3 linked regions of the Nothobranchius furzeri genome follow. The protein of the gene in region 1 interacts with the protein of each later gene in a pairwise test. Links are inferred from orthologs where the notes say so. Each region holds a gene or a part of one and is shown on either strand. Other genes may lie near its edges. The genes, in order: syt4, sgta and nbr1a.

What was found.
Region 2: the proteins of syt4 (region 1) and sgta interact in binary tests that used the Homo sapiens proteins (3 or more experiments, as listed by UniProt). The two-hybrid records come from large-scale screens. The link is inferred for Nothobranchius furzeri from reciprocal best matches to the Homo sapiens genes SYT4 and SGTA.
Region 3: the proteins of syt4 (region 1) and nbr1a interact in binary tests that used the Homo sapiens proteins (3 or more experiments, as listed by UniProt). The two-hybrid records come from large-scale screens. The link is inferred for Nothobranchius furzeri from reciprocal best matches to the Homo sapiens genes SYT4 and NBR1.

What each region holds. Positions count from the first base shown.
Region 1 is NC_091742.1:82,355,508-82,359,159, reverse strand, and holds part of syt4 (synaptotagmin-4), read right to left. Parts: intron 628-3,652; coding exon 507-627; intron 117-506; coding exon 1-116. UniProt on the Homo sapiens protein: Synaptotagmin family member which does not bind Ca(2+). Involved in neuronal dense core vesicles (DCVs) mobility through its interaction with KIF1A.
Region 2 is NC_091748.1:79,890,753-79,895,088, reverse strand, and holds the start of sgta (small glutamine-rich tetratricopeptide repeat-containing protein alpha), read right to left. Parts: upstream 2,847-4,336; 5' UTR 2,707-2,846; intron 530-2,706; exon of another isoform or gene 285-529; intron 1-284. UniProt on the Homo sapiens protein: Co-chaperone that binds misfolded and hydrophobic patches-containing client proteins in the cytosol. Mediates their targeting to the endoplasmic reticulum but also regulates their sorting to the proteasome when targeting fails.
Region 3 is NC_091756.1:48,477,186-48,481,556, reverse strand, and holds the start of nbr1a (NBR1 autophagy cargo receptor a), read right to left. Parts: upstream 2,913-4,371; 5' UTR 2,783-2,912; coding exon 2,681-2,782; intron 2,357-2,680; coding exon 2,294-2,356; intron 1,806-2,293; coding exon 1,787-1,805; intron 1,707-1,786; coding exon 1,684-1,706; intron 1,512-1,683; coding exon 1,329-1,511; intron 1,173-1,328; coding exon 1,095-1,172; intron 625-1,094; coding exon 401-624; intron 289-400; coding exon 169-288; intron 1-168. Other genes in the region: psme3 (proteasome activator complex subunit 3), read left to right, coding at 3,053-3,094. UniProt on the Homo sapiens protein: Ubiquitin-binding autophagy adapter that participates in different processes including host defense or intracellular homeostasis.

The sequences.
Region 1 (3,652 bases):
CAAATCAAAGACAAAGAGCTCATTGAAGACTGGATTGGGGGATGACTTCTTCACGTGGGTTTTCTTCTTACATATGCGCTTCTTGCCATGGTACATGTTGACCTTGACATATGGATCTAGAGAAGAATGACAGAGATGAAAATTAGAAAATATGTGCTTTAGATCCATCTTTACAGCAGTTACTTGCAGGACGTTATTCAAAGGAGAGATCAATTAAAAAAATCAATGGACAGGAAGTAATGGGCATTGCCAATGAGGTCAGAATAATCTGGCTGGGTAAGCATTGGGTGTATAGGTGTGAGTGTGAGTCACTATCACAGCCTGACTGGATTACTGTGGTTCAGCAGTGGTGAACCCTAACCCTAAAAGCAATTATCACCACTTCTTAAGTCAACAACATGTCTAGATGAGCAACGTTTATTTAGTCTGGTGTCTTTTCAAGTATCTTGAATAAATGTGTTGGCACAGTCCCAGAAATAATATTGAAATTATGAGACAAAACATACCTGTAGGTCCATTGTTTTCAGTTTTGGGTAGGTGGCGGGCTTTGAGGACAACAACAGTCAGAGTGTTGGTGGTGGACTGGTAACACAGCGACAGCAGCAACTCCCCTTGCCCTGAAGACTTCTGTGTAGAGACGATGATTGGAAATAAAAATGGCAGTGAGATGAAGAACAGAATTATTCTGGTTAGAGCTTTCCAAATGAGAGCCAAAATGGAATTTAAATCACAAACATCAAAGATGTTACAATATAGCCATTTCATTTGAAGTTAACCTAACATCACAGCTTCACCTTGATGTAAGCCATTGCATCATCATCAAACAAACTCTAGTCTCTCAACAGCAAGATGCATTGTAGAGAAAACATTTTAAATGAAAACCTCTCGATACATTAACACATTGATTACTATAACTGCATTAAAATGTCTAAAAACAGAAAAAATGTTAATGAAAATTATTATTCACAGCAGCAGGGTAAAATCTACATGAATCAGCAGTCAACACCTTAATTACTACTCTTAGTTTTTGTATTACAAATGGCCTATTTTATATTGCGCCTTCTACAGTCTTAGAACCCCCCAAGGGGCTTTACAACACTATCAATCATTCACCCATGCATGCACAGATTCACTCCCCGGTGGTGATGAGCTATGATGTAGCCACAGTTTCCCTGGGGCGCACTGGCAGATGCCATGAAATGTACCATTTGTTTACATGGAGGGGGTGGAGCTTAAAACATATTCTGCAGCCAGCCACTAGAGGGCCTTTTTTCTATATTCAGCTTCCGGATTGCTTTCCTTTTTTATAGTTTGCATGTAAGTTTTCAAATGGATCAATGATTACAAAATGCTTTTATTGGCATAAAACAAGAAAAGGTATCTTTAGAAATTAATTAATAATTTTAAGTTATATGTTAGATGAGATGAGTCGACCTTCAGATATATATCCATCCAACCATCCATTTTCTGAACCCCCTTGTCCACGTAGGGTCGTGGGAGGGGGGGGGGGGGGGGGGGGGGGGCTATCTCCAGCGGTCAATGGGCAATCAGGCGGGGTACACCCCGGACAGAGAGCCAGTCCATCGCAGCCTCAGATGTATATAAAAGTATTATGTTAGTTTCTCTAATACTAATCTACAGTTTTGCTGGTTAGAAATCCTGCTGCTATTGTTTCAGTCCTCACTTTTCACACCCGCTTCGAAGCAGGTGCTTTTCGTAACTTCTTCTTCTTCTGTGGTGTTATGAGATCTCGACTAACACACGTTTGTGAAACTCCCAAATCTATTTGTCACAGACTTGTCACTTTGATGGCGCTTCACAGACACAATTGTATCTGATTCCACACCCACGCCACACCCAAGAGGATTTTCCAAAGGTTTCCATGGAAATGGTTACACTTTCAGACCTCATTATACAGATTGTTCCAATGCATTTTATATCATTTCTCTGGGGAAATTCAGAGAGTTGACTAAAAGCAGTCATATGTTTTCTATCAGGAATATAAAACTTACTATATTGTTTAAAGCATCTTTGGGTGTCTAGAAAAGTGCTATATAAGTTCAATGCATTATTATTATTATTATTATTATTATTATTATTATTATTATTATTATTATTATTACTATATTGTACTTAATTCAGGAATTTGTCTGTGCTCACATATGCATGGTGACAAAACAGCGCACCCTACACCTACAGGCAAAGAAAGCCACCACCCTGCAAGAAAATGGCTACAGCTAAACACATAAATTAGGATACTGCATTTCAGTGAGTCTTGCACAGTTTAAAGTAACAATTTTAAATTGATTAAAAGTTGAATTGTATTCTAAATTGTTTTACTTCAACTGAAAGCATCACAAGTTGTTTTAAGGAAACGTGTTTTCTTCTTTTTACTTAAAAAAATCTAGAAAAAAATAAATCTAAAAGTAAAAATTCTCAGCCATCTTGGCAAAGCAGGTTCAGAGGGTGAATATTTGTATGAAAGGTTTATTATTTTTCTCTTTTATTCATTTTATTTATCTTATTTTATTTGTTTTAGCAATAAAATAAAGATAAATTTGAAATGGATGCTAAAAGTATTCAGAAGGGTGGGGTAACTCTAACCCTAACCCTATATTTAAAATAATACATGTTTAAAGCCTAATATTTAACTATACCTTAGTTGTGTTCATGAGAAAGGGACAAAGCATCACTGTTAGATGATTACTTCATCATTCTGCAAATCCCTGATTCTCTCTCACAGTCCATCAATCCATTTTCTTCCGCTTATCAGGAGTCGGGTCGCAGGGGCAACAGCCTAAGTCGAGAGGCCCAGAAGTCCTTATCCCCAGCTTGGGTTGGCTTTTCTGGGGGAAACTCAAGGCGTTCCCTGGCCAGGTGAGAGACATAGTCCCTCCAGCATGTCCAGGGTCTTCTTTTAGGTTTCCTCCCAGCTGGACGTGCCCAGAAAACATCACCAGGGAGGCTTCCAGCAGGCATCCTAACTAGATGCCAAAGCCACCTCAACTGATTACTGTGAGCCCCTCCTAGATGACTAAGCTTCTCACCCTATCTCTAAGGAAGAGTCCAGACGCCCTGTGGAGAAAACTCATTTCGGCCATGTATCTTGCTCTTTCGGTCTCTACCCAAAGCTTGTGAACATAGGTGAGGGTAGGAACGTAGATCGACCGGTAAATCAAGAGCGTTGCCTTCTGACTCAGCTTTTTTTCACATTCTCACACCCAAAGCGTCAAAATATGACACGTGTGACCAAGCGTCACAATATGACGATTTGGGATGCCCCAGTGTGTCAGGATAGGACGCATTGAGGATGCGCTGTCCCAGAGCACCGGTATCCGATGCCCGAGGTGAAAAGGGCATTTGACCGACTTGTGAACTACTTAACCTTCCCCTTGCCCCCATTCTAACCTTAACCAGCTTAGTTACTGAGTTAAGGTTAGGATTGGGGTGAGGGGAAGGTTAAATCGAGGAATAATGTCCGTGTCACCGCGAGCGTCAAATACGGATGCCAGCGGTGAAACGTGTCCCTGTGTGTCCTATCCTGACGCGCTGGGGCATCCCAAATCAACATATTGTGACACTTGGTCACACGCGTCATATTTTGACGCTTTGGGTGTGAGAATGTGTTGGTACAGCACCTGCATCACTGCAG
Region 2 (4,336 bases), on another chromosome or scaffold:
AAATAAACATTTTTCACATTTCTCTAGCTAATTTAAACACTCCCGACTCAAAGTAAAAACCTCATGAGCTTCTTACTCTGAGCTTTTTAATAGTAAAAAAATTAGACTTTTTTTCTTAATATCTCCTGTTGCGGGCTATTTTGTAGAACGTAACCCTCAAAATAAATGATCACTGTATATTGTTAATTAATTCAAATAATTTAACATTGATTTAGTGTTGTAGTGTGTGTGCTGCTTTATTTTATATGTGTACTTATTTCAGTCTATTTGTGTTTCTTATGCAGAAAAAAACAAGCAACGATGGACAACTACATGGGGAAGAAGACACTCACCCCCCAGCAATGCATACCACTTACAAACTCTATTCTAAACATGCTGGTAAAAGACATGAGGCCACTATCCATGGTGGAAGGAGCAGGCTTCCAGCTAATGCTAAAAAATTATTCTGGACTGATATTTTGCACTGTTTAGCTCATTTTCTACTGCTGACTGTGTTCATGTGCAATAAAATAGATTGCAGTCAACTGCACAATTCTCTTATGTTTTTTTTTCTTAACTGAAATGCATCCATCACTTGTATAGGTTAAATAGCTAAACAGTAACAAACCGATAATCGATTAATCGAAAAAATAATCGACAGATTAATCGATTATGAAAATAATCGTTAGTTGCAGCCCTAAACGTAACACATGTCTATAACAGCATCAGTGGGGCTGGGTACCATGAAGTACTTATTCATACTACTACTTTAACGATGGCGAGAAGAGAGGATAACAAAGTACTTAAAGGTTGTGTTCTTTATATTATTTTATTATATTTATTGATATTATACTTTATTCCAGCAAAGCTGCAGTGCAAACAGTAAAGGCCCAACATGTAAACATGAATAAAGCAGCTTCATTAGTGCTGACTTCATGTCAGTAACAGCAGTTAACAACAACCTGCTGAACTGCTTTTATAACAGCAGCCAGGTCTGCTGTCATCAGCCTCCATCCTCACACTCCTCCAGGGCTTGGGAAGGTGATGGACTCGGGTTGACTTGGTTGCAGTCAGAGACGTTCCATGTTCCAGCTCTTAAGATGCCGCCCTGCACGACCAGGTGCTGGTGAAACTGCTGCTATTCCTGCTGATGCATTTAGCTGCTGCGTACTTTAGCTAAACGACCCAAACGTTTGTTTTCTAGTTAATGTTGCTGAAAGGAGACGCGCCTGCTCCACTCATAACGTGACCCGGGATCAGTCATGTGACCTGCAGTGGCACATCGGGACATTTTAACACTTTTTTCTGATATTTGGGACCTACCAAGGCCGGATTAACCATATGGGCAACTGGGCAATTGCCCAGGGGCCCATGAACTCTAAAGGGCCCAGGGCAGCAAGGGCAAGAGCAAAATACTGTATCTGTAATCTCCTGCTTTCAGTGGCGGCTGGCCAGTAGAGGGTGATAGGGCGCCGCCCTCCCAGTTTTCCCCAGTGTTTTTAATTTTAATTAAAAAAAAATAAATAAAATTAACAATAATCACATATTCTAAGTTAATTGTGTGATTTGTAACAAAAACAAATCATATATGTATATATCTATATTGGTGAGAAGCTCTCTGCCGAGCGGTGGAGGCGACAGAAAGGCTGTAGGCTGTGTTTCAATCGCCCAAACAGCACGGAAGCTGCCGGCCAATTGCTGACAAGAAAATCAAACGGTAGGAATGGGAATGTATCCAATCAGCGTCGACGTCGATTCAGAAGCATGATGGGCGATAGAGCTACCGCCAAAGGCTTTCGTTGGTATTCGGTAGAACTCGGAGAGTCTCGACTACTCCAGCACGTTTTTGGTCGTGACGCAGATGTAACATGGACGCCGCCGGTGACTACAACCAGCATGGATACCGGATCTCAGCAGCCACTGAATTCAGTTCGGTCTCTTCTCCAGTATCCGTTCGAGAGGAGAACTATGGTGGAAAACTTAATGTCAAAGAGCTTGGACCAGAAGAGAGGGCCTCAAGTTAAGACCCTCTCCTCATTGGTCAGTCCACACGAGGTGGGTCAAAGGTTACCCTGAGCGGGTTACGTGATGTCAGGCATTCAAGTATTGAGTATATTTACTGCATATTACAGTAAAATATTCTGTATGTGACCATATTGTGGTGATTCTTGGGTTGTTATGATGGGGCCCTTGAATATTGTTGCCCAGGGTAACAAAGTGTTAATCCGGCCCTGGGACCTACGAGTGTTTCCACTCAGTCCCAAAGAGGTCCAGAGTTCTGGAACCCGCCCTAGGCGTCAGTCAGCCTTTCTCATGAGCTGAGATGTTCTATGTTCCTCCTCTGCTGGAGGTCTGTGTGGTCCACGCGCACGCGCACACACACACACACACACACGGTGTGTGTTTACCGTTTTGGATCGCTGCTGTAGCGCGGGAGCTGAATACGTCACGTGTTCGGAGTATTTAGACCCGAGGCGGTTCTCTATTATTGGTTCCGCCACTCTATTTATGCTACGTTATAAAACAATAAGGTGTAATATAAAAATGATGGTGGTTGACAAATGAAACTCTAGAGGACAAACACGGTACGGGTCATTTACGTTCCGCACTCATTTTAGACCTTTTAAGGAATCATTTCCAAATTCCTAAATTCAACGCTGTTAGGACTTTTTAGACCCCGCGGAAAGCCTGCAGCCAGGACCGAACCGGAAGCTCGTCCCTACCCACCTGTCCTTCTGCAGGAGTCCGGATAACGAGCCAGTCCTCCGGGGCTCAGGCAGCTCCAGGGTCCGCAGAAACACCTCCACCTCTCCGGACACGAGCCTGCCCGTGACCTGGAGCTGCGTCCTGCTGAGGCTCCAGAGCCTCACAGGAAGTAAAGATAAAGTTAATAACCGTGTCTCTAAAATCCTCATAACGAATCATTTCCGCCTCCGACGAGCAGAAATGAAATAAATGAGGACAGACTTTTGCAGCTTTCCTCCTGAAGACGCGGTCAGCTAAAGGCGCGTGAGCGGGTTCATCTGAGGTGTTTAACTGGAATCTTTACCTGTTAAGTTGTTCTCACCTTTAAAACGATGGAAAAGGCGTTTGTATTTTTCAGCGCTACGGCGGCCCTACAGGGACAAACTACGTGAAGCGCGACTTTCCCTTTGACATCGCCCCCTGCTGGTCTGTTTGTATAGTTCATTTACTCCAATTATCCATAACATTATGACCACCGGTTTCCACTGAACGCGTCAGAACAGCAACCATGAGAAGCTTGACCTTTCAGCCTAAGAACCCACAGCTGGACTCCAAATTCAAACTCCCGCTTGAGTAGCGAACACTTGGAGAGTCATCCATTCACCACGGACTCCAGGGTGCACACACCTTATTTCAGACTTCAGTTAGGATTGATGACACTGAAGCGTTAACCATAAAATCCTGACCTGAGGTGATATTCAGACATTTGTGGACTGGCTTACATTTAAAATTACAGAATAATGAACCCTTCAAAAGTAGCAAAATACAAGATTCATTGGCAACCTTCTCATTTTTTTCTGTAAATATATATTTACGTTGTTGTTTTAATTAAAATAATTCACAATTTATCTCACAATTCTACATGTGTTATATATATATATATATATATATATATATATATATATATATATATATATATATATATATATATATATATATATATATATGTATATATATATATATATATATAAACACATGTAGAATTGTGAGATAAATTGTGAATTATTTTAATTAAAACAACAACGTAAATATATATTTACGTTGTTGTTTTAATTAAAATAATTCACAATTTATCTCACAATTCTACATGTGTTTATATATATATATATATATATATATATATATATATATATATATATATATATATATATATATATATATATATATATATATATATATATCAGATGTTTTAAATGTGCCTGCAGGTTAGGGTTGTTGTGGAATTACAAAGTTTTTGTTTAGTTTGGTTTTTTTCCTGCCAGGTGTTCATTGTTGAGTTTCTCGCTGCTGAACCTCATCAGCTAAGAGTTTTAGGTTATGTGCTCTAGTTAATGAAAGGAAGATTTAAAAGATTTTTTAAACCTTTATTTAACCAGGATAGAGACCCATTGAGGTTAAGAACCTGGCCAAGAGGCAGCAAAAATACAAACAGTTACAACGTCATGACAATGATAAAACACTCAGTCATTAGAAGCAGTTACAAGTTACTAATGCAATCTCTGAAGCTGTCAGTTTGGTTTTGAAGGCATTTAGTGAAACTTGCTCAGTCATTTTCCAGGTTTTCTGCAGCTGGTTCCAAGCGGAAGGAGCAGAGCAGGCGAGGGCTCTTTCC
Region 3 (4,371 bases), on another chromosome or scaffold:
AAAAACCACATCCCCACTCAGTAATCTAGCTGCTAGAATAAATTGCAATCCTGCCTTGACTTGATTTATAATCATGTTTTTCTTTATTAGTGAAGATGTGACAACCAAAAGGCAACAACTTTAAATTACAACAAGAAGTAGACAGATGATCCTCAGTTTAAAGTTTACCTAAACTCTCCTGACATTCCATGCTCAGGAATGGAGAGAGGTGTCTTGGTTCTTACGAGGCTGTGACTGGGGTCGTGGCTGTGTCTGCACATCTCACAGAGGATGCAGGAAGGACACACACTGCCAGGAAAAGACAGAATGTATGAAAACATGATGCATGCTAATAAAAATCTACCCCTTATAATACAAAATGCTACATCATGTTGTTTTCTTGGAAGTCTTTCATGCCTACCTGCATTTATAAGCCCCTTCAGAGGTCAGTTTGTTGCAGGTGCTGCAGTTTGGGGTGTAGCCAAGCGATCCATTCGAAGCAGAGGGGCCCAATCCGGGTTCCACAAGACCTCCGCAAGCACCGCCAACCTCATGGAGTCCATCTGAGGATTTGTGGGTACAGCACTGCCCGGAGAAGTCGTTGCACATCTTCTCCACTACCTCCTTTACAACTTCATCCTTAAACTACCATAACAAAAGACTTGTTAGCTTTAGCAGAAGCTAAACACATTAACTCACAGGAACTGTTTTATTTAAAGAGCAAGTCACCCCCAAATAAACATTTTTTGCTGATAAACTAAATAAACGAGTGTCTAATCGTGCTGCAGACACGTGTCGTCAATAATTTGGCACTTCAGCGCATCTTAGTTAAAATTTAAATGTTCTGCCTAAAACTGGCAGTGTTGTGCCGTTGTCAGGTAAAAACTCTGCACTGTATTCTAATTTAAATCTGCCACCGCTATTGGCTAAGAGGTATGCTATGATGTAAACTGGTACGTTATGATGTCACAATGCTGTCGTGAGCCTGTGTATTTGTTAGCAGCTCCGCCCTCTCGGTCTGCCAGGCAACAGCATTTGTTGCATTTTTCAAACATGAAGTGGGAGTGGAGTAAGACTCTGGTAGGGGTTGACTTGCTCTTTCAGTGTGCTCTAACCTTTTCCATGTACGACCTGAACCACATAGGAGGAGGCTCATCTTCGGGCCTGTTCCCTTTGTTGTCTTTTACCGCTACCTGTACATAAATACATCATACGTATGTCAATGAAACAACACGCCGAGACAGAAATTGCCAAGACGATTTGTCCTACTTAGAAGTAAAAATACTATTAAATAAAATTTAAAAATTGCACACAAAGCAACAAATAACTAAAATGTGTTGTTTCCTTACAGTTTCACGCTCTGGGGTGACTTGAGTGCCTTTTTCCACAGTTTTGACTCTTGATGGGTAAGGGGGAGCAGGGCGGAGGTCTCCTTTAAGCTCCTTCACTTCTGTCTTCAGAGGACCTCCACAGGCCTGTCCTTTCATCTTATACACGTTCATGTGTAACTGGTTCCCCTGCTTCTCTGCGCTCTGTGGAGATGCAATAACATCACATAAAAGTTATAAAAGGAAAAACACACAAGAGAGGAACGTGTTGTTTAGATTTGGCTACATCTCGATAAGCATGCTCCTTTGTCTTTTGAGTCACTAATGACAAATTAGTTGCATGGCAACCAACTAAATGACACTAGGGTCACCTTACCTTGATGGCTTCTTCATATTCATCTGAAAAGCAAACAAAAACAAATGAAAACCTACATATTCTGTAGGACATGCCAAAATAATCCCAAACTATGTTTTCTTACCTTGACTGTTTATGCAAATCTGAAGCAAGAAGATAAATAAAATCATGATTAATTAATTATGTCATCTTTTTAAATGCAAAACTTTCGCCACTGGCCCATTTTTGTCTTATCATTGCCGTTTCCATTTCTTACATTCAAAAATAAATTGCTTTATAAATGTCACAATCTTTTTTGGACAGCTATGGTCACAAGTTTCTTTACGAATTGAGACTGACAAAGCACAACTGATTAGGTAAACACTGCTGATTGATTTGAGTGAATAATTGGCATTCAAAGCTCTTCTGTCAGAATTAGTTTTCAAACTATTTTATAAACAAACTTAAACCCAATTAAAACACATTGTTTTAAGTTAAGAAACGAGTAATAGCAATCTAATAAGATATAAAAGAATTGTTAATTATTTGAAAATTAAAACACATTTTAAATAAATATTTGTAACAATTTATTTAAAAATAAAGTCTAATACTTCCTGACTAGTGGTCATACTGTATTTTAAAAGCATCTCACCTCTTCATTATCTTCATCAAAGTATTTGACTTGAAAGTAGTTGATCCCAAACGATGCTTTGATCTGAAATATAATGTCGAAGAGTTCGGGTCAGATTTACCTATATGGTATTAAATCGATCATTCATCAGACGGACTGTGACATCAATAATAGAAGGCCTTCACAGGAAAAAAAATACATCGAAAATAGAAATATATGTGTAAAAATAAACGTAGAAGCCCAAACTAAACGTATTATTTCCCGCAGCTCTTGGAAAAATCGGGTATTTCCGCATATCCCGTTGACAGTATCGATTGTCCTTCAGGTGCGCTGCTGCTCGCGCATCTAGGCCGTGTCTGGGCCTGCTTTTCACCAAACTGCGCCAGCTTTTAGCCAGCAGCCGCTTACCCAGGCTTCGACGGACTCCCACTCCAATTTGTCCAAATCCTGAGCCAAAAACCTCTTTACATTCCCGCGGAAGTTGACCTTGATAGTGACTGGGAGCCCCATGACAGCCTTCTACGCTTTTTTAACTGAAACCATTTGCGACGATAGCGGACAGTATGATCCCTGTTTAGCTCTAGACTGCCGTTTCTTGTTTACATCGTCAGCTGCGTCGAGAAAATAACAGTGGCGTCTCGCGCAGGCGCACTCGAGCATCTGTCGCGTGCTGTTGTCGTCATTTGTAAGCTGACGTGAGTGTGGCTGAAAAGCAAGGAGCCACACGTTTACTGCATATGCCGGTGGGACAATCTTTACTTACGTATTTGATCACGGAAGATGTCTTCACTCCTCAAGGTGGACAATGAAATCAAAACCAAGGTGAGACTAGCGCGAGCGAAAGCTCCAGTGAAGGCTTTACTATATGTTATTGTTGATTGGTAGCATGTTAGCCACATTTGTAGCATGATATGCGCCAGTTTGCTAACAATTAACGATTGCTAACGTGCTTGTTTCCCGCCTGCTACCATACGTCTGGGAAACATTTTAGGCAGGTGCTGGAAGAGATAGATGATACGTTTTTCTGATGGACGATGTGAGGTTCCATTTTAATTTTCTCACTAGAAACCAAATATTGCACCGCTAGACCCACATGCGCCGAAGGCCTTAGCTACCACTGGGCTAACTCAACGTTTAACAGACCAATCGAAGTTCTTGTTAAACCTTGATAAAATCTAAACATCAGAATTCATTGGATACTTTGCTTCGAATTGCACGTAACTCGCTTGTTTTAAGTCCAGGTTGGAAACGAGTATTCTTGTCTAATCTTATCTTATATATCTTATTTTATATACAATTTTTAAAAATGTTTATTTTTTTCTGTTAGACACCTGTACTCCAAGTTCTAACAAACCAAGAGTAGACTTTTCTTTATATGTAAAATAAACTGCTTTTCCATATATATATATATATATATATTTACAGCGCCTTGTCTGGTTGTAATGCCATGTTGAATGCGCTTTATAAATAAAATGGTATGGTATGGTATGGTATGGTATATATATATATGTGTGTATGTATGTATATATATGTATATACAATATATATATATATATATATATATATATATATATATATATATATAGTGATACATTTAATTTAGCTTTTTTCATTTAAAGTGTCATATGATTTAGTCTACTTGTCAATTCTGCCACCTGCTGACATCAATCTGTACTTTCATTCTTAAAATGTCATCTATGTCTAATGTTTCCCACCTCAATTAGTAATTGTAATGTTAAATGTGATTTCAGTATTGGCCACAATCACCCACTGCCCAATAATCCAGCTACCCTAATACACAACAATACACAACATAGGTCATTTTGGTAACATATTGTGACGTTGACACTGAGTTCTTTTATCTTTCCACTGTCAGTGTCTGCTACACCCTCCGTCTGTCACTTTCGAGTTTTATCAGCTCTGCTTTAGCAGTTCAAATGTTAAAAAAAAACTATTTCACATCAGTTTCGTGGGCTCTGTATTTGATTAAAAAAATGGAATGACTTCTGCATCATTTACTGCATTGACGAAACCAAAACACAATCTTAATATCTTCTGAAATGTAATTTTTTACTCGGTTAATCAAAAAAGGAACATTT